3 linked regions of the Alligator mississippiensis genome follow. The protein of the gene in region 1 interacts with the protein of each later gene in a pairwise test. Links are inferred from orthologs where the notes say so. Each region holds a gene or a part of one and is shown on either strand. Other genes may lie near its edges.

Region 1 (9,820 bases):
GATGACCTCCTGAGGTCCCTTCCAACCCTCATTGTCTATGACTCTATGACATTACTTTTTCTTAATGTAGCTTTTTTTATACAAGGTTATACCTAAGTCTCAAAGACCTCTGAGGTTTCTGTCTTACTAGACATCACCAACATTTGTATCATGCCAAAGTATTGCAACAAATCTGGGATCAATACAGATCAATATCTGCACAGCATGGCTGCTAGGAGGATCAGTGGATTAACAGGATACAGCCTATGCTCTTCTCTTCCTAAAACAAAACCCTTTGCCATTTGAACTCACGGAGAATCTCTCCCGTTATCAATGGGAGGCCCATCCCATGTAATACCCTTTTTCTGGTTCTGTTAACAAGCACAGATCATTCAATTGCTCTTCATATTTTAATTTAATTTAAATTTTTAGCTTATGAATGTGGAATACCACTACAGAGATGCATTCTTTCTTGGTTTCTGCTCTCCAGTGCAGAACATTCAGCTTGCACACACACCTCTCCAAATCTTCCTTTTTCTCACCCTGTAGCCCCACAAGCAGCATGCTTTGAGCTCACCTTTTTACATTCCATTTTCAACATCTACCATTGTGCAAGTAACAGAATAGCATTTAACTAAAGAGTAAAGGAAACATATTAAAAGAGTAAAGGAAGAGTAAAGGAAGCATATAAAGGAAGCATATAAAGAGTAAAAGAAGCATATAAAGTTCACTGCTATATATTTCTCTCTTCAGAATGCAGCCTGTTCCTTCTTATAATGACTCTTCTAGCAATTAAAGAAATCCATGTGCGAATTTTTTGTTTGCAGCAGCTGCAAGAAATCAAAAGAAAGTTTTTGAGGGATGAGATTTAGAGCTGCCCAGAAACTGAGGGTGTTGTTTGTATTTCCAATAGGATTTTTTTTTAACTGCTCTTCAATTTTGTCAGCATTTTGTGTACTGGGGAAGCACTTGCAAGAAGGGTGTAGGATACAGAGCAAGGGAGAAAGTAGAGTAGAACATACATCTGATTGTCCTGCATGGGACGTGGATTGCTTTATTTGTGATAATTTTTGTAATGATTTTTTTCTTTGGATGAAGGACTTCATATTTTATTTTCACGTTCTTGGCTTCCATTAGACAACTGAAACATCCCTTTCACCTTTTCTTCCAGATCTCCCTCACTGAAACCAATGTTCCCAAACAGTGTAAGGCAGTGGCTCTCAACCATTCTAGGCTCAAGCCTCCACCTTGATAGATCCCCCCTGCCCCGACCAGCATTTAATTTTCACCCATTTTTCTTTTAATATCAGAACAAATATCCGAGCAATTCTTCCATTGAACAGAGCTCAGAAAGCCCACAACAGGTCAGCATGTGTCTAACGTCATGGATCTTTATTTGAAATCTCTTGTGTTTCTCTTGTGAATTGTGTTTGCACCCCTCACAGTGCTAACACTGCGTGACACCCTGCATCACCCTTGACAGGATCTCTTGGTACCCTGGCTGAGACCCACTGGCCTCTCTGTGTGTGAATTTCTTAGGGTGATATCTTCTATTGGACCAACTCTGTAGTTGGGATAAGAAAAGATTTTAAATGTAAAACTTGCTTCCTCATATCTCTGAATATAGGAAGCTAGGCACAGCAAGTTCACTTTTTTTTTTTTAATTTCCTGTCTCAGACCAACTTAGCCAAATCTGTTCCAAAATCCACTGACTGAGCAGAGCTCAATCGTTCAAATCTATGTGGTGCTACCATTGGAAAGTGTCTTTTCTCCCAGATTCTTCAGCCTGGGGCTTTAGATACTCCCAAATCCATTGCAGGCATTGTACGTGCAGGCTGAAGCCCAGAGGTCTTGGGGTTTGGATACCCCAAGTCTCACATGCCCTTAGGCAACAGGCCAAAGGAGCAAGCTAGGGAGAAATCCCTCATCTCCGTAAAATAGGCATGTAGTGAAGATCCTCTCATTGGGAGGCTATAGTAGATTCTTGGAGGGGGGCTAGTCTGCACTGAATTGAACAGACCTCCACCCTTTACTATACACTGTGTTCAAGGTTATCCGACCTCTGCAGAGAGCCACTTTCATGGTATTTCCCCTGCCAGGTAAGTTCACACAAGGAAGGTAAGACTAAGCCATCCCCCCAGTGCCCTTGATCTCCCCATACTCAGCTGCTTCTCTTTTGCTCATGGTGTGTCTGCTACACCTGAGAATTTCTCTCAGCCCCTCTCCTATGCTGTGCCTTGGTTCCTATATTCAGAGACCCAAGGAAGTCTTACCTTCAAAAGCTACTGACTGCTACCAAAAGCTAATAATGAGCTACTGCACAGTAGCACTGTGTGGCACGAAGCGTGATGTGATGCTGCTACACAGGAGTAACGAGCTACTGTGCAGTCAGCATCGCCTAAAAGCCATTAGGGGATGCTACTGTGCAGTCACTCTGGTTACTGCACAGTCACTTAGTACTTGTGTATGCAACTACTAAATGACTGCCCAGTAATGACGGCGCAGTCAGCATCTTGTGTAGACACAGCCAGTCAGTCCAATAAAAGATATCAACGTAAGAAATCCTTGCTTCTCCAAAAGAAATGCTTGAGCACTGGGAGATCAAGGCCTATCAAAAGGAAGAGTGGGGAGACAAGTCAGCTTCACTTTCCCAGGGTTTAAACATTAAAACCAAAATGAAAAAACCACCCCCAAAAACACAATCATTGGGAAAACCTGAGAATGTAGCTATGGTCAAATGAGATATCTGCAGGTCAGGGGAGATCCCCTTATATGAGAGGTGAGTTTAAAATGCAGCCTAAATTTAGAAGTTCCCTGAATTTCCTTGTGGCAAGCATGCTGAGACTCAGTTTTCCTTTCCTTACCTAATGTTAACTAAAAAAGGGAGAAAGATGGAAGTGGGTGAGTTAAAAGGCCCAGAACAAAAATACCATTAACACGATGTCTGGTCTGATGCTACTGTGGACCTATTACTATACCAGTGCATCCGTTTTATCTTTTTTTTTGAGCAGTACCTTACATACCCAAGCTATACTTTATGTTCCAAATGTTAATTCACAGCGGTACAACCTTATGTCTTTGGATCCATAACTCAGGCTGTGTAGTAAAAATCCTTATGAATGTAACTACTGTACTACGCACATTTATATTTTTAACATCAATGTCTTCTAAATGCTTGGTAGAGAATATAGATGTGCATGCATAACTATCCAGGCAATTTAGATAGCAAATATACAGTGTTTCAGTATGAAAGATTTTGTGCATTAATCAGATACACCAAAAATTGAAAAGAAGGGATGTTTTGGAAGTGATCAGGTAATTGTTATGGTAAGAGTCCGTCAGGCAAAACAATGAGGTTGCCGGTGTTTATTCCTTTTGGTTGGTATTAAGCCTAGGTTGGCCATCATAGAGGACAGTCTGGTTGTCCTCTACTGATACAAAACTGGATGCCTTTACATCCTCTGTTTTTCTCTTCAAATAGAGGACATAAAGGGGTCAGGTTTTGTATCAATAGAGGACAGACTAGTGGAAAACTGGAATGCCCTCTATGATGGCCACCCTAATTAAGCCGTATGTTCAAATGTTTTAGTATTGGGACAACAGGTTGTCCGACCTATGAGCTACAAGGGTAGGGAAATGCAATGAGCAAAATCTGCTAAAAGGGTAAAGTATAGGAACAGTTGTGGATTGTGAGCTAGTTTCAGGGTGGAGACAGTGTTGGGTGGACAGTAGGGTGGCCATCATAGAGGACATTCCCATTTTCTGCTCCCCTGCCTTCTATCGATACGAAACCCAACCCCTTTATGTCCTCTATAAAAATAGAGGACATAAAGGCGTCGGGTTTCATATCAATAGAGGACAACCGGACTGTCCTCTACGATGGCCACCCTTGGGGAGAGAAAAATGTCTTCTAAATGCTGCGCCTTCCCTGCATGGAAAGCATTCCTGGATAAAATAGGATTTATGGCCCATGGTATCTCAGTGCTTAGCCCTTGGTACTTAATGCCCAGCCCCTTGTAAGAGTTGTATGAAACAGGATACAGGTTTCCCTCGCTTTGTGCAGGTTTTGTATGTGCAAATTTGCTCTTATGCGATGACTCTTTCATACCAAAACCTTGTTATGTGCAAGGTAAATTCCCTCTTACACAATCAGCGTGGTGGAAGCTCGCGTGGATCTGTGCAACTCGTTCATTGTCTGCAACACTGTTTCTGTAGTTGCCATTCCCATTATGACAGTGCCCTGTGCTTGTGCTGTTGGCGATTCCCAAAACTGTCTTGTAAAAGTGGTAGAAACAGGTCTGGGGGCAGTACAGTCGAGGTCTTGGAGCGTACCCCTATTTGTTACATGGTAAAGTGGGCTGCCTTTGTGCGAATTGGAGTTACGCGCCGTTTTCCAGGGACGCGTGCACCGCATAAAGCGAGGGAAACCTGTATATGGCCCATGATATCTCAGTGCTTAGCTCCTGGTTCTTCCTGCCCAACCCGCCTGGAAGAGTTGTTTGAAATAGGATTTATACCCCATGATATCTGAGTGTTTAGCCCCAGGCTAAATGTACGAGCTGGATGAAATGGAGATATCAGGGGCCATATATCCTGTGTTCAGCCCTTGGCTTTTCACCCCTTTGTATGAGTCGGATGAAACAGGACATACGGCCCCTGATATCTCCGTACTTATCCCTTGGTTTTCTGCCCCTTTGGGCAACCTGAATGAAATCGGATGTATGCCCTATACTATTTCATTCAGCTCACACAAAGGGGCAAAAAACCAAGGGCTACGCATGAAGATATTAGGTGCCATGTCTCTTATTTCATCCAAGCAGGACGAACCCAGGGCTAGCATACACGGCCCCTGATCTCTCAGTCAGGGCTTCGTTCCCTTGGATGAGCTGGATGAAGCCCCTGGCTCCTCAGTGCTCAGCCCCCTTGGATGAAGCCTCCCCTCACCTACCTGCCCGTGTCGGCGGGCGGCGCGGCGCGGCGCGGCGCGGCCCCTCCCCCCGCGCGGGGGCGGCTCCGCTCCGCGCTTCCAACCGCCGCCTTTTGCCCGGCGCCGCGAGGAGCCGCGGGAGGAGGCGGAGGCGGAGGCGGCGGCAGCGGAGGCGGAGGGAGGGAGGCAGCGCGTGCGTGCGCGCCCGCCAGCCGGGTCCCCGTGCGGCGGCGGCAGCAGCGCGAGGCCGAGGCTGTTGTTTACGGGAGCAGCAGGAGGACGGCGGAGGCCTCCCGCCATTTCAGCGCCCTCCTCCCCTCAGGGGGTGATCCTGTGCGCGCGGAGCCGCTTTGTGCGCGGGCAGGGCGCGAGGACGACGCGGAGGAGGGGGGCAGCAGCAGCCCTCCATTCATCGTCCCCCGGGGCCCGGCTCTTCGTCTTCTTTTTTTTTGTTGTTGTTTTTTCATTTAATTGAAGAATAATTGTGCGGGGGAGGGGCACCACCCTTGATTGATTTTTTTGTTGTTGTTGTTATTTTTTGGAGGAGGAGCGGGGTGAAAATGGAGGCTGAGGATGCCCCGCGCCGCCTCCCGCTCGCAGCCGGGCGCCGGGGCTCCCCGCCCGCCGCGCTGACCTGATCCGCCGCGTGTCGGCTTATTTATTGGGGAAGCTTTTTGGTTTTTGTTTTTTTTTGGTTGGAGGGGAAGGGTTGTCTTTCCTCCCCTCCCCCTCATTTTGGGGCTTTTTTTTTTTTTAAATATATATTTATTTTTTAAGTGTTTTTTTTTTTTTCCTCCCCCCCTCTCCCCACCGTTTGTTTGTTTTTGTTTTGTTTCTGGGAACGGGGGGTTTTGTCCGTCGCAAAGGAAAAGGAATGAAGCCTGGCGCCGCACCGGGGTCCCTCGCCTTGCTCTGGGGGCTGCTGCTGGGCTGCGCCGCGCTCTGCCTCTGCCCGGCCAGTGGAGAGAGTGAGTACGGACCGCGGGCGGGTGTGGTGTGGCGTTGTGTTGTTGTCTTTGCACCTCCTGGCCCTGCTCCACCCTTGGAGAAAAGCCCCCCCGGCCTCTCCCCTCCCCAGCTGTCCCTGCGAGCCTCGTGAAGCCGCGAGAAACTCCGGGGGCAGCCTCCGCGCTGCATCGCCCGCAGGAATTGGAGGAGCACGGGGCGCTGCTGCCGCTGCCGCCCTCCTCTCTTGCTCTCGGCTTTGCATGTGTGTGTTTTATCCCCCTTGGGTTTTTTTTGGTTTATTATTATTATTATTATTTTTTTTTTTTGGGGGGGGGTGCAGCAGTCATAGGTTGTTGTCCGGGAGAGGGTGGGGAGACTAATGGGATGGCACTTCCAGCATGGATCCGACTCAGGGTGGGGAGAGGCTGGAAGAGGTGTTGATGACTGGGCAGAGCTAGAGGAGGAGAGAGCAAGGCAGGGTGTTGGGTTCTGGATACGTACATGTGTGTGTGTGTGTGTGCATTGGAGCGGGGGACACGTGTGTGTGTGTGTGTGGGAGGGAGAGACGGGGTTAATTTGTGTGTGTATGCAAGGGACTTGTGCGTTGGGAGGGGAAGTGTATGTGTAGGGTGGGTCTGCATTGGAGCGAGGGGACGTGTGTGTGTGTGTGTGTGTGTGTGTGTGTGTGTGTGTGTGGAAATCCTGCGTTGGAGGGGGAGACGGGGTTCATTTTGTGTGTGCGTTGGAGGGGAAATGTGTGTCCCACCTCTCCAATGCAGACCGACCCTGCACGCACACACGCACATGTGCATGGAAATCCTGCTTTGGAGGGGGGGACGGGGTTCATTTGTGTGTATGCAAGGGACTTGTGCATTGGAGAGGAAATGTGTGCGTGCAGGGTCGGTCTGCATTGGAGAAGGAACACGTGTATGTGTGTGTGTGTGTAAATCCTGCATTGGTGGGGAGACATGGTCCATTTGTGTGTGTGCATGCAAAGGGCTTATGCGTTAGAGGGGAAGGTGTGTGTGTGTGTGTGTGTGTGTAAATCCTGCATTGGGGGGAGACATGGTCCATTTGTTTGTGTGTGTGTGTGAATGCAAAGGGACTTATGCATTGGAGGGGAAACGTGTGTGCATGGAAGTTGTGCCTTCGAGGGGAAACGTGGTTCGCGTGTGTGTGTGTCTGCAAGGAAGTTGTGTATTAGAGGGCTCCCAGGAGTGGGGGGCGTGCATGGAAGTTCAGTGTTGGAGGGGGGGAGGTGGTTGTGCAAACCCGCTCCAGTTTCTGCTGCACAAAGATGTCCGGGTTCTCGCTGCTCTCCATCTCTTCGGACTCTGCTGTTTTAGAGTCTCCAATGTCACGATTCGGCTTTTTGCACCCTGCAAACCTGTGATGCTGGTGATTGCCCGCTCCCTTTCGGAGGTGGGGGGGTGAGATTGCAGCCATGAACAGGCACCTGGGGCTGAGCGGGTTTCCTCGTGGCCAGGGGGGATCCTGTGACTCTAGGGTTGTTTGCATTCAGCTTTAGTCTCCCCTCAATTTTTGAAGGTGGGTGGGGGGCAATGGCATGAAGGGATGATGTTAAAAGGGCTTTTTTTTCTGGTCACATCATTTGGCCTCTCTCTGTTTTGCCTTGTAGTCTCTGCTCAGGAATAGGATATTTCCTTGCATTTAGGGATGTAAAAACCTAACTAGTGAGCAGTAATTTGTCTTTATTTCTGGAAAGGGGGGGGGCAGGAGAGGGAGAGCAGGTTTGATCTTTCAGCAGGAGAAGGGAACAATTTTGAGGCTGGAAGTTTGCTAATGAATTGGTTTTAGGCTGGAGAAGAGAATGAAGTGCTCTGGATGCACTGGCTGGTAGAGGAGTTGTAGAAATGGTTTGAGGAAGGCTGGGGTCGATGGAGTCTGGTAGGCATGTTGAGTAAGACTGCTTGTCTTTGCACAGTGCTTGCCAATTAACTCTTTGAAAATTAGGGCACAGTTTTGCCTTGTGTGCTCTGGCAGGGCTGGAGAGGCGCCTTCTGTCTTGGAGGGGCAGGACCTTTTTGGCTAGAGCTGCCTTGGAGAGATCCTTAGGTTTAAAAACTGAAAGCCAGTGCTTGTCTTCAGGAAAAGGCTTACAAAAAAGAAAGACAGACTAGTGTAAAGGAAATGAAAAAGAACTTGAGAGACCAGGTCCAGTGTATTTTTAAATGGCCAGGTTTAAATTATTTTTTTAACAACTTATGAATAGCATCTTCAAATAGGGCTCTTGCTCCTCATAGCCATTCTTTTAAAATCAAGCACTAGTAACATTGTAGGGTTCAGCATTTGGTCCTATAAAATGTTTGCACAAGGAATAGCTTTTATTGTTTGTGGAGTACCTGGGTATTTAATTTTAAACTTGACCAGATACACCGAGGAACTTCTCTGAGCTGAACAGTGCCTCTAATCAAATCCTGTCTGCAGTTCACAATGTTAATAGTCTGTGTTTTTGCGAGTTATTACAGAAAGAATTTTGCTGTTAGGGGGAAAAATGATCTCCCAAGCAGATGTTTTGCATCACTTCATATTCTTCCCTCTCCCCACAATTGTGGAAGGAAGATTAATCTTAATTTTTATTTGTTTTTCTTCTATAATGTGTCACAGCCAAAAGGCACTTCCATTTTCGGTCAAACAAGCAAGGCATTCCTAAATAGGAATACAAAGGAATTACAACAGGGAGGAAGAAAGATTTTAGATTAAGAAAAATCTATCTGAGATCCAAAGATCGAAGCATGTTTAAAATGCAGGTAATGTAAAAGGGAAGGTTCTAATCAATAACAAAGATTGAGAAAAATATTCAGAATGAACCAGGGTTTAAACATAAACCCAAAATAACCCTCTCCCCCCCTCGCAAGCCCCCCCCCCCCAAAAAAACAAAACAAAACAAACCAACCAAACCAAACAACAACCCACCACAATTTCATTTGGAAAAAGAATGTAGGTATGGTCAACTGTAAGATATCTGCAGGTCAGGGGAGAACCCCATTACGTAAAAGGTGAGTTTAAAATGCAGCCTACATTTAGAATTTCCCTGAATGTCCCTGTGGCAAGCATGCTGAGACTCAGTTTTCCTTTTCTCACCTAATGTTAACTGAAAAAGGGAGAAAGATGGAAGCGGGTGAGTTAAAAGGCCCAGAACAAAAATACCTTTAACACAATATCTGGTCTGATGCTACTGTGGACCTATTACTATACCAGTGCATCCGTTTTATCTTTTTTTGAGCATTACCTTACATATCCGAGCTATGCTTTATGTTCCAAATGTTAATTCATAGCGGTACATCCTTTTGTCTTTGGATCCATAACTCGGGCTGCGTAGTAAAAATCCTTATGAATGTAACTATTGTACTACGCACATTTATATGTTTAACATCACTGTCTTCTAAATGCTTGGTAGAGAATATAGATGTGCATACATAACTATCCAGGCAATTTAGATGGCAAATATACAGTATGAAGGGTTTCAGAATGAAGGGTTTTGTGCATTAATCAGATGCACCAAAAATAGAAGAGAGGGGATGTTTTGGAAGTAATCAGGCAATTGTTATGGTAAGAGTCTGTCAGGAGAAACAGTGAGGTTGCTGGTGCTTATTACTTTTTTGTTGGTATTAAGCCATATGCTCAAATGTTTTGGTACCAGTATTGGGACAATGGGTTGTATGACTCATTAGCTACAAGGGTAGGGAAATGCAATGAGCTAAATCTGTTAAAAGGGTAAAGTATAGGAACAGTTGTTGATTGTGATCTAGTTTCAGTGTGGAGACAGTGTTGGGTGAAGAGAGAGATGTTTTTCTTTCAGTAAAGTAAAAGGAATCCAGCTAGCACTTGATTAGATAACTTGTGAAAAAAGAATGGTTTTTAATAGAAGCAGAAAAAGGCTAGGAAGTGAAGAATAAGTCCAGCTAGTTTTTAGACTGTCATCAAATAAATTAATTTTCTGGT
Region 2 (10,325 bases), on another chromosome or scaffold:
TAAATGACCAAACAGTGCAGGTGAGGCACATCAAGCCAACAATTACAAGTGTTAAAATGCACATTCATCTAAAGAAATAACCATATCATTAACATTTGAAAGACAGTACTCTTAAACTCTCCAAGCCCTAAAGTCTTAAAAAGCCCTGGAGGGGTGGGCAGCCTGGTAGGGGAAAGGAACTTCTTACTTACGTTTAAAATTAAGTTTTCAAAAAAGCACTTAGAATCATGAAATCATAGAAAATGCGGGTTGGAAGGGACCTTAGGAGGTCATCCAGTCCGACCCCCTGCTCAAAGTAGGACCACCCCCAACTAGATCACACCAGCCAGGGCTTTGTTGAGCTGAGCCTTAAAAACATCCAAGGATGGAGATGCCACCAGCTCTTTAGGTGACCTGTTCCAGTGCTTCACTACTCTCCTAGTGAGAAAGTTTTTCCTACTATCCAACCTAAACTTCCCTTGGTGCATGGGATTGTTCCATCCTAAGTGCAAGACTTTGCACTTGTCCTTATAGAACCTCATGATATTTCTTTTTGTCCAGTCCTTTAATTTGTTGAGGTCTCTAGCCTTACCCTCCAGCGTATCCACTACTCCCCCCAGTTTGGTGTCTTCTTCAAACTTGCTTATCTCAGTTCATTTGCAAATGGGCTCTTCAGCAAGAACCATAGTTTAAAGCTGAAGAGCCAGGTTTCTCAGATGAACCTAGATTGTTATACTCTGTTACCTGGCCTAATTTCAGCAGCTTCCTAAATAAAGATAACAGATATAGAGATGTTCCTACTAACTGGTATTCAGATGCTTATTTGTATTCTCTTTTTAAGCTATAGTGTATCCTAAACCAGCTCGAACTGGCATAAAACAACTAAATGCACCATAAGCCATCTTTAGCCATCTTATTACAACTGTTCTCACCTATAATCCTCTCTCACCTACTCCTTCCTTTGTCTCTTCTGTTCTTACTCAATTTTTAGTTAAGTGAATGCAAGCAAATGCTGAAGTAGCTTGGAGCCTACTCTGTGAAGCCAGGATGTGTAGTAAGGTTCTGCCACCTTAAACAGCTGGATTTTGCTGCAATCATCAGTTGCTAGCAGGGTCTGTTAATGTGACAGAGGAGTTCTTTGTAGGATAAATTTAATGGGGCTACACTCTGGCAGGGAGTATAACTGGGCATGTGGCAATCAGCAGTGGTATGGCAGGCAGCATCATAATCTGTCAATATTCCCGGCAGCAGAGCAGTCTGCCAGGACTCTGGTTAATTTAAGGCTCTCAATAGATGAGTTTATTTAAACTAGATTTCTAGGGGCACAGCATTTTCTTAAGAGAATTGCATTTCTAGATCCCAGGAACGTATTACAGACCAGGGTTTGAACTCCCTACTCAGTTGTTAATCAATCTCCCTGAGCCAGGGCCGTTGGATTGTGGTCGTGAAAGGGTTTAGATCCCTGTTTTAACTCCAGCTGGTGAGTAAATCAGCTCCTGGAGGGAGCTGGAGAAATGGGTTAAAAGTCTAACGTGGTTCCAAAAAAAACCCAAAAAACCCCCAAAATCCACCTAACAATCCCGATGTGACTGCACCAAAAAAAAAATCTATTCAAGACTGAATAAAAACAAAACCCAGCAAGGGCATAAGAGGATCAGAGCTGGTAATGATTTGTAATCCATAATAATGGAGTGTCTGCTAGCACTGTGCATGCTAGGGAATTTTATGAAATAGGCGTGTTACCATGTCTGGAGGCAAAGTGACCGAGGTCATCATGGGGTGAAGAGATGATGGGATTAAGTCTCACATTTTTAAGCAGTGTCATGGGATCTCAAAAGGCCACTTTGAAGAGTTTCTAAACTCTCAGTGAAAGGGCAGACACACATGCTCACTGAAACATGCAGGAGCACACATGGACACATTGGCATGCAAGCATGTGCCAATTGGTACACCCCCATGCACTGATACACACATGTTTGTGTGTGCCCTATCCACACACGCTGACAGAAACTGGTACAAATGATGAGGCCAGTGCCTGTATGCAGACTAACACACACACACAAACACACACCAGCAGAGTCAGCAGCTCGGTCCCCCTGATGGGCAGTCACCCCGAGTCTCTCTTTTGTGCTCTTTGTCAGCACATGCATGGCTTGTCAGGCTGTCAGAGTCTGACTCAAGTGACCTGGAGCTCCATTTAACTGTTTCACCCAAGTGACAGGCTGAGTCCGTGCCGCTGGACCCAAACTGATGGTCCCAGGAATGCTGCAGAGCTCAAACTCAGGGACAGTTGGCATTCAGCTGTCCCCTCCAGCACATCCATTTTCTCTGCAGCCTCCTGAAGGATCAGGCATTGCTTTGATGGGGCTGTCTAGAGTCATTCCCATCAATGCTTCACTCAGAGGTAGCAGAGGCAAGTGGGTTCAAATTTTCTAGCCCATAGGGCTGCCACTTCCCTTTGTCTGTCCTGTCTACTTAAGCCCTTAGAGCCAAGAGCTATCTCTTCTTTGTGAATGCATAGCTCCTAGCATGACAAGGCCCTGATCTCAGTTGGGGTAGATGAGCGCTAGCATAATATACAGCAAGTCTACCCCACACCACCACCTTCTTTCTAACCTGGGGGCATTACAGCATTCAATTCTGGTGATTCATGGTGCAGAGCCGAGGCAGCTGGTCCAGCCCTAGCTCTGGATATTTGCACAGGGTTTAGTAGCAAACACGCTTAGAATGCAAAGGACTGCTCTGCACGTGGGGCAGATAATGATGCTTAGCTTTGCTGGGCTTATGTAAGCATGGGCAAGAGGGTCTTTGCCACGTGCTGTGGGAGGAGATGGGGTAGGGGCTAACAAGGCACAGCGTGGGATTTAAAAAGCTAGAGTGGGGTTAATCTAATCTATTTGAGATTAAACTGGATTAGAGCAATGGAAGGGGATGGGGGGGATTGTTTCTGCCTTCCTATGTCATGCAGTTCACGGGGAGGACATTCACTTTGACTGATCAGTGGTGGCAGAGGCCTTCTGTATCACCGCCAAATCTGTAGAGGTACTGAGCGGGCTGGATGAATTTGTCCCCTATACAGAAGGAAGCTACAAGCTGCTGAGTTTTGGCTACAGTGGGAAGTGTGCAGCACCACGCAGCATCCTGCTGTCCTGAGCGGTCCCTGGGATGAGCTGCTTGCTTTCTGTGCCTCAGTTTCCCCATGTGAAAAATGACTGCAACATCTAAAGGGCTGCAACAGGGTGCTCTACCCCTTTAAGGGCATCAGGGCCCAGGGCTAGTCAGCTGGGAGTATGTCATATGGTTCCCATAAAGGGCTGAGAGAGCGCAGTGATGTGTATGTGATGGGCCCTGCGGCAGGCAGCCTGTTTTGTTGCAGATTTTTGTGTCCAGTACCTATGTGCGAGGGGAGGGCTGTGAGCAACTGGAGGGAAGCACTGGACTAGTTCTCAGTCCACATGAGTGTCATTAATAGAAGTAATCCAGGCATTGGAGAGAGGCTGCAGTAACTTTATGAATAATGGCTCTAGGCCTCAATGAGATTTCCAGAGTGCAAATCTGCAGCAACTCCAGTCAAACCAACATGCTGGCTCTGCTCTGTTGGCTGCATTTCTCCTACCACAGTGCAGCCTAACTCTCAGAGGAGGCAAATAAATTCTCCTCTAGTAAGAAGGGCAATTATTTCCCCCTCTTCTTCCTCCCCAACCTGGTGTTCCTGCAGTCTTAGAAACTGTTTCACTCTTTGGCGCTGTTTGTATCTAAACAATGCAAAATGTGTACAAGCGCCCTAGATGCACAGGCAGCTGCACCCAGCCCGCCTCCAGGTATCACATCAAAGTCCGCTTGCTCCTTCCTGCTTTTCCCTAATGAACGCTCACCTCTCCTTGTAATCCTGGACCAACCCATCTTCTGGTGTAAATCAGTGTAGTCATACTTGTACTTGCTCATTACACCATGGGTGGATCTGGCCCTTCCCATGACACATTAATAACATTCACACGCATCATTAGACACAAAGAAAACCACATTTCTGTCCCTCCCAAGCCGTTAAAAGGCTTTCCCCATTTGCAATTGGAGACTGATGCCTGCAGAATTGGAGCCAAATGCAACTGTATCTGGTGGGTCTAATTAGCAATCCGGCTAAATAAACCTCACACATGGGGAAGTTGTGGGGGGGTGGTTATAGCAATAGACTCCTTAACAGGCAAGAGTCCTGGCTTCTCAAACTGGCATTTATAAATGACTTCAACTGGAAGTGAGCCCAGAGCTCCAAAGATCTCCGATAATGTGCCATATATTATTAAAGGCAAAGTTGACTCCTGTACATTAGGCCATCCACATCTCTCCCCTGGTAACTATCTCATCTGAGCTAACACATGCATGAGTATCTGAGTGTGAGTAGGGTGTCTGCGTACATGTATGTGCACACAAATAGTGTATGGATGCACCCCAAGAGTCTGTGCACATGAGCATGGATAAACGTCTGTCCATTCATGCTCTCAGATATGGATGTGGGCATAAAGAGACATACCCATGTTTCCAGGCACAGACTGCTGTGCACACAATGGCTTTTTGCTTACATGTACATGACTGCAACTTCACATGACAGCACACGGGAACTTGAAGAGCATGCTATGCCCGTGTTCACACGGTCCTTTGCTAGTTTCTGAACTCAGCACGTGCTGGGCTCATATTTTCTCCTCTGCTCTTGTTTTGCCAGGTTCCATCTAGGCCTCAAAAAGCCAAAACCTCAGCAGAGGATGTATTCTTGCCCACTGGAATAAAAAGCTCCAGAAACCAAACATGAGTAAGAGCCAGTGGGAAGGGCCCACAGTATTTCCAGTCGCTAGTAACATAAGTGTGAGACTTCAGAGAAGCTCTCTGATGTGTTTAAGGGCAGAAATGATGATCGTGTCACTCGGGTGATGAAGCATGGAGGGAAGCCTCCTGCAAGCGGGCCTTTGGAATAGACAGATGTATATGTAGCGGCTGCAACACAGGGCTGGGAGCCAGGACACCTGGTTCTTATGCTCATTTCCCCTAGGGACAGACTCACTGGCCTGGGTGGAGTCCCTTCATCTCCCTGTGCCCAAAAGAGGATTAATGATCATGGCGCTTCAATCTCTCAGTGTGCAAGGCCCTCTAGAAGGACTGTTATGGGGTCAGCAGTGTCTTCAGTGCTGGGTTGTTCTTCCAATGAAACTGTCCTGGATTGCCAAAGATAGCCCATGCTGCCGTGTCCATTGTAGTCATGCCTTTGATGTCAGGGCGCAGCAATGCTGCACAGAATTTCAAATGAAATTTTCTTTAGCAAAGAGCAGATTGCATCCACCCCAGTGCCTAATGGTGTGTGATTCTGGCTGGGCTCTTTAAACCGCCTGTTATTGAGACTCTACCCAGGACATGTTGGTTTGATTATAATTAGGCCGTCGGCAGGACTGGTGTGAATACATAGTGCATTACCTAGCGAGTCGCTGGGTGCAGATCTTTCTTTGCTGAAGCTAAAAAACAGAGATCTGTTCTTCAGAAGGGCTGTTTCAAAGGAGATTAAATAGGGATCTCTTCCTAGGAATCAGCACTAACAGAGAACTACTTTCAGGGTTCGAAGCTGTAATAAGGGATTTCTCCACACAGGGAAAAATACACGGCATAGGGATCTGCTCTCAGGTTGTCCATCAGATGCAGAAAGTATGAATCTGCATCTAGTGATCTCTTAAGAGCTGGTAAACAACTGGTTCTTAATGGCAGAGCAAAGACATCGGTTTGTAGAGATCTCCTGCCACCTGGTATGCATCTGCTGGCCCAGGTCTCCCAGCATGCAGATCCCACAGACCTAACTGCTGGGATCTCCCAGGATGCAAGCAAAAATGAATGTCTGGGGAGAAGGATAGGCTAGTGGTTACGGCATTGGCCAAGATCTGCAATTGGTGTCCAGTTCAGCCACCAACTTCTTCTGGGCAAGCTGCTTTGCTTCAATGCCTCTCGGTACGATAGCCTCCCAGAGACGCTGTGTGGCTAAATGCAGCAGAGGGTGAGGGGCTCAGGGTCTGCAGATACTATGACCTTAATTAGATTGACTGGGATCTCACATGTCATGGTGCCCGAATCTCCTGGCTTGCTGTGGAGTGGGGAGATGCATCTGCAGGGCTCTCCTGTCTGCAGAGCCTGGAGTTCGTTCCCTCCATTGCCTGGCAGCAGGGAGCTTCCCCTTTAAGTTTCCCCCTGGATGCTCCGGAGCTGACGGCTCCACTTTTTTAAGAGGTTTGAATCTTTGGTTAATTGGCTTCCTTAAATACAGAGTGAGAGCGAGAGCCACGGCGCAAAAGGGGGGAACCGAGGAGGCGATGGGTTGGGTTGCCATGGCAACCAGCAGCCGTAGGCTGGCGGGTTGCATGTCACGGAGAGGGAATAATGGCCCTGAAAGGTAAACTTGGCATAGGGATGCTTCCTTTGTCAGGGATGTTTGAACAAGGACAAAACCAGCCGCCAGCCTCTCCCCTTCTGCATCTTGCCAGGGACAGGCAGAGCCGGGGAGATTAACCAGATGGGAATCACCCTCAATCTCATGCCAGCCTCCACCGCACTTTGAACCGCTTCGGCTGGAGCAAAGCGCCGTGTCTGTGACCTCGGCCCACCTCCCCTTCCCCTTCCCTTTCCTCCTGCGAGTCCAGGCTCCGTGGCTTGTCGGTCGATAGTCGCCTGTTGGGGCTCCCCCGTGTCAGGAGATGTTTGAAGATGCGGTAAGTAAAAATAAAAGCTCCTCTGGGGTTTGGTGGGGGAGAGAAGGCGGTAAGGTCAATGCCTGCCGACCTGTGCACTGCTTGAACAGGCATTAGTCCATTCGGAAGGAGCCTTCTTGGCCTTCAGGACATCCAGCAGGAGGTGCTGAGCCAAGCAGTAAAGGGGCTGGTCTGCTACGGCTGTCATATCACCCTTTTTTTCCCAACCTGTGAGCAGTGCTGGAGCCTAATTCTGTAGCATTCGACCCCCGGGCCCAGTTCTGCCCTCTGTAACTCAAATGCCACAATGGCCCATAAGATGCACCCAAAACTCTCATGGAAAATCATTGGGAGTTTTGCCTTGGGTGAAGGTGGCTGGATACTTAAATTACTGGCGCTGAATATCTTTGTGGCTATATGGGGCACATCATGACAGGATGTCAAGTTATGAGATATAGTATGTGTGAGGATCCAGGCAAGAACCGGTTGGTTCATGACAGTGCCTGCAGATCTGGGCACTTTGGGGTGGATTTTACAAAGAAAATTGTCACAGGAAAGCATGGAGCTTTTCATCTTCCAGTGGGGCACATTTCAGTTGTCCAATGAGAGTGGAAACCACATGTGACTATGATGATCAGTCCCAAACCATGAATGATGAAGACTAGGCATCAACTCTTTGCGCCTATTCTCTAGGGAAATGTTTTCATGGGTGCTGTGGTGGATGCAGGATAGCAGGGGATGCTGCATGCAGAAGGGCTCTTGCTCCATGTGAGAGCAGTTCTTCACCAGGAGAAGCAGGCAGTAAGAGAAGAAGAGAAGGAGGTCCCCAGGGATCAAAACCCAAGGAGGAAAGGGTGCTATGTGGAGGACTGAAAGAAAACAGGGCAATCTGCTAACAGATGGAGGAGAGTGTGTGGCAGAAGAGACAGGCCTATGGGAGTTGTTTCAACGGGCCAACCCCAGAGACTGCAAGGCCATGCTGCCTGCCTGGAGCAAACCTCTTAACCATAGACCTGCAGCTGACAAGAATCCACGGATTGTCCTTCACATTGGGATAAGCGGTGCTGCCAGAGGCCCGATGAGATGGACGCAGGCCCTGGGGAAGATGCTCTGGGGGACCATCTGGTGGGATTCATCTGGTCTCTAGAGGGAGGACAAAGGTGTTCCAAGTGATGAAGATCTTCAGGCAGCCAAAGGATTGGGGCTATGAGGCAGCTTTTGGGATATTCAAGCCCTGGAAAATAGTCTCAATGGATAGATCCACCTTAGTACATGGTGGGATTAAGGGTGGCATAGCTGAGGAGAAGAGCGTTAAACCAAAAATGAGAAGGAAAGGTTGAGAGAGACTGGGGTCATTTCCAGACCTGTTGTTAATAACTAGGAAGAGGCCACTCGGGTAAACAAGGGTCTGAAGGGCAAGGAGGCTGGATACTAAGACTGAAGAATATTGCAGTCGAATGGACAGTACAGTTAAAGAACAGTACCTAATTGTCTAGGAAAGTGGGTGAGGCTAGAGATGGCTGTGGGTGAATGCAAGGAGACGGCAGCGAGATGGAAGAATCAGAGCTAGTGCTTCACATCATGGAGCTAGTTATCGTGCCAGAATCATGGCCCTCATGACTGGGACACAGATAGTGAAGGGTGGAGGCTGTAAGAGTGAAAACAGTAAGAGTAGTAAAGCTGGGGGGTTGTCACTGCACTTCAGCAATGGGATGGACTGTGAAGTGGTCAGAAGTGATACCGTGGATTATAGAGTTGGCCTGGGTATAAAATTGCTTTGGGGAAGGCTTGTACAAGATGTTCTTGTGGTATAGTACCAAGGCTATGCTATAGACCCCCAAGGTTGGCTCTGGATGTGGATAGAGTCCTCTGCATTGTCATCAGAGAGAGAAATGCTACCAGGAATTGCATCAATTTGGGAGGCTTTAACTTCCCAGATATAGATCAGAGAACAAATGAACTAAAAATGGCTGAGCCTGGTTATTCTTGGGTGGGACAGATAACAGATTTCTTCACCCATTGCTGAACCCAGAAGCTATTTTAAACGTAGTTGGTTTAATATTTTAGAAAAGAGCTAGCTGGGGAGAAATCAAGAAGCCTGGATTGAGTGATCATGAGTTAATTTAGTTTAATGGAAATGGAAAGATTTTTAAAAAATCAGTCATTAAAGCTGACAATGAGAAAAGGATGAACTTTGAGAAATTAAGAGAACAAGTTATTCAAGTCTACTGGGGTGAAGAAGTTAGGAACTTATATCTGGAGGAGGTCTAGTATTTCCTTAAGTCAGAGGCACAAAAACTATTTGATCTGTTCTGACTGATCTAGTCTGAAAGGTATGTCTTGGAGGTCTGGAAGTGTCAGGATAATGGGGGAACTGTAAGTCGAGTTAGGCTAAACAGATAGAAGAAGGTTCTTCAATTGCTTCAGTAAAATGGGAGCTATAAAAGAAGCTGCACTGCTATGCAGTGAGGATGGAGTGGAGGTGAACGACATGTTGGCATTGGCCCCACAGCTAAATGAAGTGTTTTCAGTAAGGAGCCTATTCTAGCATGGCGCAGGGGGGGCAAAGTGTATAGCAATGGAGGCTGCCACATCTGTGGAGGAAGCGAAAACCAAGGTGCTCTATGTGTTCATGTTAGAGGGTGGCTGGATATTCTTGATCCCACTGGCACATGAAATCAAGGTTTCTCACAAATTCTGTCACATCAGGGTGAGATGCCTGGTTAATGGCAAATGTAGCACCTCTCTTTAAAAAAGGGATAGTGGGGGAAAGTGGTCCTGGAAACTACAGAGCAGTTGTTCTGGTCTCAGTTGCTCTCAAGGTTTTAGAACAAAACGGAAGGACTGAAAAAATGCTGAGAAGCAAATGGGAAAAGGACAAATGCAACATGGTTTGACTGGAGGTAGATGCATTGAACTAACCTGGTGTCTTTGAGAAAACCCTGGGCCATGGAGATATGGGGATAGGGAGAACAGGAGAGCTGATTGGCAGACTGGGGATTTTGTTTAGGGGCTGCTGGTCCTTCCCTGAAGGTTTCATCCTCTGTGTCGGGAGCACTTTGACCCTGGGATGCGTCAGGTGTGGCATTTCCAGCAGAGATGGGGCACATTGAACTGGTGAGATACACCTGAGAGACTGGGTGCAATTCTGGGCACCCATGTTCAAGAGAGAGGAACTCAAACTGCACTGGGTGTAGAGAAGTGAGGCAGGAAGCCCTGTTCTCTGGAAGGAGACTGAAAGAGCTTGGCTTGCTTACTGCAACAAGGCAAAGACTGAGAGGGGAATACAGATGCTGTCTCTAAATACATCCAGGTGGGGAGACACCCCAGGGAGAGAGAAGAGCTGGTGAAATGTTGGTGCAAGAACAAAAGGCTGGAAATTTGAATAAATTCAGGGTTAAACTAGAAGCAAATTTCTAGCCATCAATGAAATGAGGGTCTGGTACCAACCGTTAATAGGAGTAACAGTGCAGACAATCAACTTGGTCTGATGAGTTATATGTGATGTGACTGCCTGTGATGGCAGGGGCTGCATTTAGTGAGTCAGGAGGTCCCTTCTTGTCTTTTGTCCTTTGTTCATCTTTAGAGTATTACGACTGAATGAATCCAATGATGGGATCACAGTTAATA
Region 3 (10,849 bases), on another chromosome or scaffold:
TCTGACAGGAAGTGAATGATCATTGTTAGGGCAGGTTTAAGACCTCTTATACTGCAGGAGTGGCACAAAGGTCTTCAGCCCAGGCTAAGTTCCCTAACTGGTGGTCTCTTGGGGCCTTATTTTTGGGAAGTTATAATTATTTGTTGTTGAAGATATTTCTAGTCTAAGATGTAAGATGATCTATTTGAGTCAGTTGAGTTTGTAATTCAAGATATTTCATCTCTTTATACTCGTAACATAACTCTCAAATGCTAAGGACATTTTCTCCCAACTCTCCAAAATAATTCATATTTAGACTGAGACCAACCATGAAAGCTCTGCTAAAATTCTAACCTCACTGAATGGGAGTTCCGTCATTCACACTGATGGGGCCAGGAGTTTACCTTTAAAGTCCAAGGAAAGGGATTTGTTGAGAGAGTTGTTACTTGAAGATGAAAGAAGAGAACTTTTTCATTCTTACAGATGATGTAACAAAAGAAGAAAGGATCAAGACGCTAATGTTATTATTCAGGAAACGAATACACAACTAGCTGGGTGGTGCGAGACATGTTCTTTTTCCTGGAGTGCTGCTATATGAAACTCAATAGAAATCTTCCTCATACTGTGGAAGTATCTCTAGTTCTCTGTTAATCTGATTTCCACTTATTTATCATACTGAAGAAGCTGGGCCATGATGATAATGATGAAAACATTAGATTTTGAAGGGGAACAGGACAACCATAATGACAATACACTAGTTAACAGAGCCACAGTGAACTGACCTAATCCAGTCCCTAAATATAAGTGAACTATGACCATGTCATGCTCTGAAATTTCCAGGGCCAACTATGGCAGGGACTACCCTTCTGAAATATTTAGATGGAAGGCAGTGAGAAATTATTGAGGATGATCCTACAGCTCTAAATTTTGTGGGAGGTTTATGCATCCATTAATAAAATGTGAATACAGGCAGTCCTCAACTTACAACATTTCGCACTTACAACGTTTATAAATTGACACCCTGTTTCAACTTTATGACATCAGTTTCAACTTTACAATGCCTGATCCAATGCAACACCACGCCATGCCAGCAAACAAATTCGCTGCGTCACTCAAATCCCTGGAGAACATCTGTCCAAACTTCCTTGGACACTGTCTTTCAGAAAGCAGACAAGACTCCAGAAAAACCTGCAGCCAAGACTCCTGAGAAGACTCCAGCCAAGAACCCTTCAAAAAGTCCAGCAAAGTCACCTCAAAGAAGTCCTGCCAAATCAGTGATTGCTACTTACAATATAAATATATTAATGTAGCTATATTACTCATGAATAATTGATCAGGTACAATATTCTCAGGTATTTTTGGTGAAAATAGGGTATGGGGCCTTGGTTCAGGAACCAATCTCTCATTTATAACATTGTTTCTTACGAGAAAATTGGTTCCAAGTTGCAACATTTCAACTTACAATTGGTTCCTGAAAACCGCATCTTGTCTAGTCCAAGGACTGCCTGTATCCATAATTTTGGCAACACTGTGTGAGAGAGAACTGTAGCACTGCTTTCATGGTACCATGTCAGTTTAATATGATAACTCATGCTACATTATGGTATCTCATGTGAAACAAAAGAGTTTCAAAACAGAAAAATAACACTTTTGATTTGGCATGATATTCCAAACTAAAGCTGCATGATGACTGAAAACTAGATGATTCACTTTTGATATAGTACGCTCCAGATACCATATTGCTGCAAGACGCTGCCATACCCAGATGTAGGAAAAAGTGATGATCCTTCATGGAGACAGCAGGATGTCATTTCTCAGTGGAATTGCACTGATTTATTTATTTATTTATTTATTTATTTATTTTTTTGTAGTGACACCTCAAACTTTCCAGAATGCAAGAGTGCTGCAGCCTCTTGGGCTGTGCCCATGTCTGGCCTTTTCGCCATAAATTTGATCACTTCCACAGGCTCTCTGCATTACATAAGAACAGACCTGCCACCCTGGGTCGACCAAAGCTTCAGCTAGCCCAGTAGCCTGTCTCTTAACACTGGCTAGTCATGTCTGTCTCCAGCAGCGGCAAGTAATAGAGAAAGGATAATAAGAAACAGGGCAGGTGGAGAAGAATACAGTTTGTCAGACCCTCCCAGTTAGCAACAGGTGGAGGGATATCTCCCGGATTTTTTGAACACCTGCTGCCAAATTTCCAGACCTTGGGGGAGCACCGCAGGCTGGATTGTGGGCCTGTGCAGGGGCAGATCCAGGGGTGCACTAGTGCGTTCGTACCCCTCTTTGATTCTTGCCACCTGAAGTTTAAAACCAACAGTGCTAGTGAGTAAGGCTATGCAAAATTTTGCCAGGTGTTTCATTTCGAAGCCATTTTGAGCTCAAAACAGCTAAATTAAAATGAAACAAAAGGCTCTGAAACAGCAAAATTAAAATGAAACGAGGGCACTTGAAACATTTCAGAAGTTTCAAAATGTTTTGAGTTTTGAAGCTGGGCTGACTTGGCTTCAGGGCCAGTCCCAGGCAGCAGTGGCAGCCTCCTTTCATCCAGGGCGCAAATCTGTGGGCAAGCCTGCACCCCTGGGAGGAGTCCAGCACAGCCCCGCAGCCCTCCCAGGGGTGCGAGATGGGAGGAGGCTACCACTGTCGGCAAGTGTCATGAGTTTTGCTTTGAACAGTTTGAGGTGGTTTCTCAGAAACCCTTACACCTAGCTCCTTGAAACGTGGCAGGCTTCATACCCTCAGAAGGGGCTACCACCCCTACAATTTTCATCCGAATCAGGAAAGAAATGACAGAATTTAGGGATTTTCATAATTCCCCATTATAGCCTATGGGCAAAACATAGAAGTGCATCGAAACCTCAAAACAGTTTTGACAAAACGAAATGGGACAGCGCTTCCAAAACAAAACAAATCAAAACACTGTCCCTTTGAAATGTCAAAATGCGTTGAAACAGCAAAATGGTTTTGATGAAACAAAATGGGACAGCGCTTTGAAACGAAAAACTGTCCCTTCAAAATGTCGAAACCTGTCAAAACAGTTTCGACAAAACGGAACCGTGCTTTGCAATGAAACTATTAAACGAAACACTGTCCCTTCGAAACGCATCGAAACAGCAAAAGTTTTGACGAAACGAAACAGAACAGCGCTTCAAAACAAAACGACCAAAGAAACTCTCTCTCTTTGAAATGACGAAACAGGCATCAAAACCACACAGTAGTGAGGCGGCGTGGACCAAGACCCTTCACTTCACTCCTCCCTGTCTACCGCATCCCTGCCAAACCCCTGCTCCAGTGGTGCTCCCCCCTGGCCCAGCCTTGGCTGCAGGCTCGGGTCCCTGCTCCTGGGGAGGAAGCTGCTATTTCCCAGCCCCGCGGACTGTCCTGAGCTCGTTCTGGGGAAGCCTGTTGGTTTTTACTTCCGTCAAACTGCAGAGCCTGGGCCTAATTTGTTTTTTCACGAGAGAAAAAAACGAGTGTTGTTGCATATGAGGAGAACTCCCCTACCCCGTCCTGCACCGCGTGCTCCCAGGTCTGATCCACAGCCGCCACAGGGCGGGGGCGGGGGAGGCAGGACACGCCCCACGGCTGCCAAGCGCTGCAGGGCCGCCTGCGGTGGGGGGCGGTGCCCGGGGAGGCCCCGCCCACAGGTGGCGGCGGCCAGGTGTGGGGGGCGGGGCAGTGCTGAGGGAGGCCGCTCGCGCGAGGGGGCGGAGTCAAGAAGAAAGGGCGGGGGGGCGGGGCCAGGCCTCTCCTCTCCTTTCGCCCCCTCCCCTTTCCCCAGTTGCTATGACAGCCGTGAGGTTTCCCTCCCCCCCCGCCTCGCACCGCGGCCCCGATGGCCCAATGGGGAGGGGGGTAAGGGGTGGGGACTCGCGGGCACCGGAAGGGGCGTGGCGCGGGCGCCGGAAGTGGGTGCTGGAGCCGCAGGGCGTGTGTGCGTGTGAGGGAGCCCAGCGGCTGCCGCGCTCGGAGCCTTCCGACCCGCCTGGCCCCGCGTCCCCGGTGTGAGCCGCCGCCGCCAGGTGAGAGCCCTGCGCCGGCAGCTGGGTGGGGCACGGTGGAGGCCGCAGCGGGATTGCCGGGCGGGCCCCGGGGCTGGGCCGGGGCTGACCTACGCCCGGGGGTGATTGTGCCGCCGGGCGGGCTCGCGGCCTGCGCCGCGCCCGGGAGGGAAGGGCGGAGGCCTCAGGCCGCTGAGAGGTAACAGTGCGAGGCGCTGCGCTGCGCCGCCGGGCGGGAGCTGGGAGCGCCGCCTCCCGCGGGAGCGCCAGCCTCGCCGCGCCCCGCCCCGCCCGCCTGAGTCACTTCCCCGGGCTCCGGCCCGCGCTCACCTGTGCAGGCGGGGCGGGGCCGGGCCCGGTCTCCTGGGCCGGGCGCAGCGCCAGCCCTGCCCTCGCCCAGGCCTCCCCGGGCACAGCTTTGGGACGTGCCTCCAATGGCTTCCTGGGCTGAGGTCCCCTCGCGGCCTCTGCCAGTGCCGGGGGTGGGGCGCTCTCCATGGCTGCTTCTGTCTCTTTCAGGGAGGATATTCTAGAGAGATCTCCAGCCAGGAGGGGAAGGGGGTGCGGGTGCCTGTCTTGAAGGCTGTATAGAGTGAGATACAAATACAGGAGAGGGGGAAAGGTTTCTCTTTTTTTTCCTTTCCGTTTAAAGCAGAGGTGGATTTGGGGAGGCTGCCAGACAGACAAAGGTGCTTTTAGCCTAGGGCCCAATGCTAAATAGTGTCTAGAGCTCATAACGATCCCCAGCACCTGCTTGGAAGCATTTGTAGCCAGTAGCATCCCAGTGTTCTTGCAGATACACTGCCAGCAGAGTCTCATCTAAGTAATGGTTCCCAGCAAGTGGATAAGTGCTTCCATTTAGTGAAGTTATAGTAACACAGTAGTAGAGGAGCAAAATGAGTGTTGTGTTATGCTTTTAAAGCTAAATTCTCTTAAATAGCCTGGAAATGTGTTAGCTTGTAAAATCTTACAGCTTTAGGAGAGGTTCAGTTACCTAAGTCAGAAATCTTACATGTGCAGTGGCCTTTAGTTAGAAGATTTCAGTATCTTTTTTGTTGCTTCTTAAATTTTTTTTTCCTTCAAAGCAGAGTGTATTAAAAATGTATCCTTGTCAGTTTAGGATGCACTTTATCCCTATAATCTAGAGGTGCAGGATAGGGGAAACAGTGTTTTGTTCACTGCTTGCAGCCCAAGGTTGTGGGCCTCTTACAAATAGGATTGCAAAGAAAGCATCCTTACCGTATAATCATTTTAAGTTTTATCTTTATTAAAGATCTTGTGTTAAGTACCAGTGGGTGAAATATAAAGAACTTTTGGAGCCCATTGCAATCCTTCTAACACAGCTGTATCAATATACTATGTTCTGATCTGTAGTAACCTTGCTTTTCTAGGGCTGAGGGTTTTTTAAGAAGATTTGGACAAGAACATGGCTTTTATGATGTGTGCAAATCAACTGGGATGTAACTGAGTTGTAGCACAAGCACAGATTTGAATTATGAAGCAACAAAAAACTAGTACTTTTATTCACCTAGTGCCATAATAGCACATTATAATAAAACTAAAGGCCTATAATGTTGTGGTTTCTCATTGCCACAGTTTTATCCCACCTCATAATATAAATGCTCTCACTTTATTGTTGCTGAAGGTGATTTACCTCTGCTATGAATGTTTTGTTTTGGCATAAATTTTACACCTGAGGGAAAAGTGTTTTTGTTTTTGGAAAACTCGCTACTTCCATCTGGATGCTAGCCAAAAACAATTATGCTAGCTGGAACAAAAAAGTGTAACCATATTAAGTGTACTATATGCAAGAGCTATATTCCTGTCTCCACCTACAGCTGTCTTTATGCATATATGTGCATATTGACTTCAACAGAACAGAATGGCCCTGCTCCCAGGAACCTACATGACAAAGAGCATTATAAGAGGTGTCAAAGATGGGGAAAGATGATGTAGGGGAGGGTGGTGGCTATCTAGGAAAAGTTCATTAGATGTGCTTTACTGGCTTTTCTCTTCAGATAATGTATGGGGCAGCATTTGGGTTGAAGGCCAAAGTGGAAGGTTTGTTGGAAAAAAAACAAGTCTGACATACTTGGGAGGCTAGTGAGGCTTCATGACACACAGACAAGGAGGAGGGCTGTGCCTGGTGCTGTGCTGCCTCTTTTAAAGCCAGAGGATATGCAGAGTACACTTTATTACTCGTAGCGTAATCCTGACTTGTAGTAGTAGAAGGCAGGTGAGCTTTCAATGCTTATATAAACCTTACAGGGCACATATATTTGCCTGGGAAGTCATTTTTAGCAATACATGTGCTATTTGGGGGAAGCATTCTATTTCCATTAACTTTAAGTGATGCATAGGGTATTTTTGTGGAAAGGAAATGAATGAGAAATGTTGATGAATAATCTATTTAGTTTCCAGTGCTCTCCTTCATCACTCCTAAATTCCCTAAGTCAAGATAAAGAGCACAACTTGGGGCTAAGCAAGAGGCCCACTACTTTTTTTTAAGTGGGGGGAGGGTGCAAACAGGACTCCTTGTGTTTTATTTGGAAGGTGCTGAGAAACAAAGCCATTCCAGTTCTATAATAGAGAACCCATAAGCAGTGATGCCTGTGGCATAGTGTTTGCCAGTGAGGCTCAACCTTTTTTTCCCCTGGAGGCTGGATCTGGTTGGTGATTCCAGTCTGGCAGGCATGGTGAGCATCATCTGGCCACGTGGAGGAGAGTGGGAACCAATCCATCCCCATCCTGGCACTGCAGGATGGGGAAGGGGGCTTGGTTTGGCCTTGGGGGGTGGGGGGGAAGAGTCATGGCATGACTTCAACCCATCCCCATGGGAAGAGGCAGAGGGGTGCAGCCCAGCTTTAACTGGATGTGCAAGGCTTGGAGTTCGGCGGAGGGGGAAGGTGGCCATATTAATGGCTATCATTTCTCCACAGCCAAATTTCCTGACTCATGGGGACCCTTGCAGACTAGATTCCAAGGCTCTGTGGGCTGCATTTGTCCTCTGGACCCAGAGGTTGAGGAGACCTGGTATATTATACACATTATATACTGATACTGTAAAACAGTTGACAGGTATGTGACTGTCCTCTGAAGGAACCTCTTTTGTTCCTTTCTGTTTTATAGATGGCTGTCTTGGTAATCTGAATCCCCATTTAAGTTTCTGACTTGTAGAACTGAGCTTTGAAGCTGCATAAGTACCATTTGCTTGATATATAGATTTTTTTTCTGTTTGGGTGTTTTGCCATATTAACAAAGTCCCTAGCTAAAATCCAATGTGAGATAGCCAAATGATGTTGGTTTTTAGTATGCAGCCTCCTCCAGTATAGGCCTGTTGCTTGTTCCAGTTGCAAACTGGTGGCCTTGTTCTCAAAGGTATACAATTTTGTCACTTGACCAAGGGTGGATTTAACTGAACTTCTCCAGAGGGGAAAGGTTAAGGTATTAATCCACTCTTCTGCCTGTTGCCTTAGTGACCTGTGTGTTAAAGTTTTTAAACCAATAATTACATTACTTTCTTTCTCTAATAGAGAGGTGCATGACTAATTAGTTCTAGTGCTTGCTCTACAGAAATACAATTTAAAAAAGGTCCTTGAGAACAGCAGATTTCAGACTGATGGAAATTTATTAGTATTGTCTTCCCAGTTAAGTATATTACATAAGTCAGATCTCTTCAGTGTCAGTTTTTCATTTGCTTTCTATGGTGTTTAAATGCAGTTACTTCTGATCTGTGTTGACTTGGACTTAAATAGATGATGGAGAGTTGGAAGTAGCAATGCCAGAATGCTGGCATGTTCGCTGCCAGGTAGTTCAAGCTTAAAAAGTGGTTTATTTCAACGTAATGTTTTGGGGAATGGAATGTCTACCCATCTTTACTCCTTATCAGTCACTAACACTTTAATTTCATTTCTCCACCTCTTTTCTTGCAGTTCTGTGAGTATACTCTGAAGTTAGGTGCCCTTTTTAAGCTGGCCTTGTCCTCCTGTGCTTTTAACTTTTCTTCCTATCTAAAGCAACCAAGGCCACTATAAATACAATTTACAGACCTATTTTACAAACATATTTTACCTTTGGTCAGACACCATGTTATTTTAAGAAATCCAATCTAGGGCCACTCCTCTAGTGAGCAGTTTCTGCTTAGAACTAGCAAATGTTGCTCTTGATCTTATGTCTTCCATGGCTGTAACTACCCACATACATGGCATGACCATCAGTGCTGTATTAAACAGTCCCTGCCAGTCTTCAACTCCAGTTACTGGTATATGTTGATAATTGCTGCAGATGATTCCCACTAGATGACTTGCGTTTGTAGCCTCCAAACAGTTTCAACTATGGGCCTCCCAAAGATGTGCGTTCCAGGCTATGGCACGCTAATGCAGGGATGCTGAACCCCTGGCCCGCAGGCCAGATCTGGCACTATGTTATCCAACCCCTGGGGGGAGCCCTGGGCCTTGCATACTGGATTGGGTACTCAGTCTCAGCTGATGGGGGTGGGAGGGAGTGGTGCCAGCCCCAGGGCCCAACCCTGGTACCAAAGAGTCTGCTTCAGCCTGTAGACTGGACCCTTGCTGCTCAACTGGCTCTTGGGGCCAAAAGCTTGAAAGACCACTACACTAATCCATTGTAAACTTGGAGCATTGCTTTCAGTTTCTTTATGAGAGGGACAAGTTATAGATGCTGCTTTAGTTTTTTCAAATGTCACTTCTTTCCTTGTATTTTTCTCTTCTGGTGAACAATGGAGTACAAGCCAGCATAGCTCTGCAAAAAACCTTTCTCCAGGCTTCCAACAAGGTAAGCAATGGAGAATAAGATTCTGACCGTATTCCGTTTCTGTTTGACTCTTGTGAAAGTGCTAGTAGGCTCACTGCCAGGTTATGAGCGTTTTGGTGTGGAGAAATGTCTGCCTTTATTGGAAGAAGTTTGTAGCATTTGAATCTTGTTAATTTTACTAAACAGTAGTTCGTAGTTCAGTAGCAAACCTGACAAGGCAGATATTAGCTACTTGACTAGTCAGATCAAGGCATAACTTGAGGCTCAAACACTGTCCTTAATTTTTGGCAAAAATAGACAAATGCAGTTCTAATTGGACCTCAGACTTTAGTAAGCAGCTTAAGGCTGTATTTAGGACAGGCGCATAATTTAGTCGGATAAATAGCTAAGGAAAGAGATATGATGAAAACGTGTCTGTATATTTTGTGCTCATATTTGACAGATAGACTGCTCAGCCAAAGCTGTTTTCTGTACCTGCACTTTTACCCAGTGGCTTTTGATGCCTGCTGAATTCCCTCTTTGCTTCTTCCAATATGTCTTTAAGTGAACTCCGTAACTGCCATGGACTTGCATTTAAAGATAAATATATCAGTAAGCATCGTACTAATAGGACTGCGCAGTTCCTAAACTCAGCTCTGTAAAAGTGACTTGTTTCACAAATTAAAGCACTGCTGGAAAAATACAGATCAAATGTAACACTATCAATTTAATGGTGAAATGACAATTGCCTCAGCAAGCTGCCCTTAAATTTCAGTATGTGGAGTATTTCTGTAAAACAAAACATCCAGATCACATGATAATGGTGGTAAGCTGTGAGCAACTACAGTCAAAATGTTTCTAGTGGCTATACAGCTTTTTTAGGAAATAAGAACATCTCACAACTATGCGGGTCCACTGGCTTATGGTTGGCTTTCATGTAGTATAAAAAGCACTGTGATATTAACATCATGTGGTACCCTGCAGATTGGGCAGAAGGTCACTTGAGAGCAAGTACTTACTAGGTGGAGTATATAAATCGGTAATTTGGGAGCTGTCTGGAAAGCAAAGGATGGCTTATTGGCTTGGAATACAGAGCCTGGGGTAAAAATTGAGTTGGTTCATGTGGTGGTAATAGTAATCAAAAGCTGCTGCCATTTGACTGGTCTCTCATATTAAGCTAACGCACTTCCTAGTAGAAAGTTCCCTTTGTATTATGAATTACCCCCCCCCCCCAATCAGTTGGTACGTTATAGTTTGCAAAAGCTAGTGTGTAATATAAACCAACTACTGTGTGTCCTTAGAGGAGATCCATCCTGAGAGAGATGGAGCCATTAATGAAGCATTAAAAGTTAAATTGCAGTGTTCTTGTCCATACATCATCTGTCTTGGAGAGAGAGAGGTTCAATACAAAGACTAACAGTTTGACACTTTAAAGTGCTAAATGCTTCTGGTTTGGAAGTGCTCCTTGGCACAGAACTGGACAACTATGAAACTGTGTGCGCAAAAGCACTCTCTTTCAGGAAACATCTTTTAGCAACAAGTTTGTTTTGAGCACGTGTCTCAGTGCTAGATCCACAATCAAAGTTAGCTTAGTAAACAAGATTAAGCATGGTTTGCTAACCTAATGGTTGGTGTGCCTGCTTGGGTTCTGGTTCTGGTACAAGAGCTATCATGTAAAATGGTCTGTGAAGTGGGACAGTTTCTATAGGAAGGAGCTATACCTCCCTGGTATAGCTAATAGCCTGGTAGTTAGGGCACTGTCCTGTGACTTAAGAAATGGAGAAGCTAGAGCAAGGAGCAAAAAGCAGAGCATCTGCTTGGCCCAGGGGAAGGGGATCAGAGATGCTCTTATGGAGGGTGCGCGGGTAATTTGTGGCATGCGTGCCAAAAAGGTCAGCCCCATTGCAGTCCTCCATACTTTACAGCAGGGGTTGTCAACCGGGGATACCTCCCCTGCTCTGCATCTGGCTGCTGACTTCCACCCTCCCCCAGGGTACACTTACTAAAAAGGGGGCTGCCAGGGGTACACTTATTAAAAAAGGTTGAAAACCCCTGCTTTTATAGCATTAGTGTAAGCATCAGGCTTGACACTTCGAAGACAAACTTATGTA

What was found. The genes of interacting proteins can lie anywhere in the genome.
Region 2: the proteins of IGF1R (region 1) and KCNIP3 interact in binary tests that used the Homo sapiens proteins (3 or more experiments, as listed by UniProt). The two-hybrid records come from large-scale screens. The link is inferred for Alligator mississippiensis from reciprocal best matches to the Homo sapiens genes IGF1R and KCNIP3.
Region 3: the proteins of IGF1R (region 1) and YWHAB interact in a two-hybrid assay, tested with the Homo sapiens proteins (2 studies listed by IntAct). The link is inferred for Alligator mississippiensis from reciprocal best matches to the Homo sapiens genes IGF1R and YWHAB.

What each region holds. Positions count from the first base shown.
Region 1 is NC_081834.1:8,251,859-8,261,678, forward strand, and holds the start of IGF1R (insulin-like growth factor 1 receptor), read left to right. Parts: upstream 1-5,098; 5' UTR 5,099-5,780; coding exon 5,781-5,874; intron 5,875-9,820. UniProt on the Homo sapiens protein: Receptor tyrosine kinase which mediates actions of insulin-like growth factor 1 (IGF1). Binds IGF1 with high affinity and IGF2 and insulin (INS) with a lower affinity. The activated IGF1R is involved in cell growth and survival control.
Region 2 is NC_081830.1:11,262,745-11,273,069, reverse strand, and holds the start of KCNIP3 (calsenilin), read left to right. Parts: upstream 1-6,365; 5' UTR 6,366-6,701; coding exon 6,702-6,716; intron 6,717-10,325. UniProt on the Homo sapiens protein: Calcium-dependent transcriptional repressor that binds to the DRE element of genes including PDYN and FOS. Affinity for DNA is reduced upon binding to calcium and enhanced by binding to magnesium. Seems to be involved in nociception.
Region 3 is NC_081832.1:16,777,439-16,788,287, forward strand, and holds the start of YWHAB (14-3-3 protein beta/alpha), read left to right. Parts: upstream 1-6,889; 5' UTR 6,890-6,904; coding exon 6,905-7,064; intron 7,065-10,849. UniProt on the Homo sapiens protein: Adapter protein implicated in the regulation of a large spectrum of both general and specialized signaling pathways. Binds to a large number of partners, usually by recognition of a phosphoserine or phosphothreonine motif.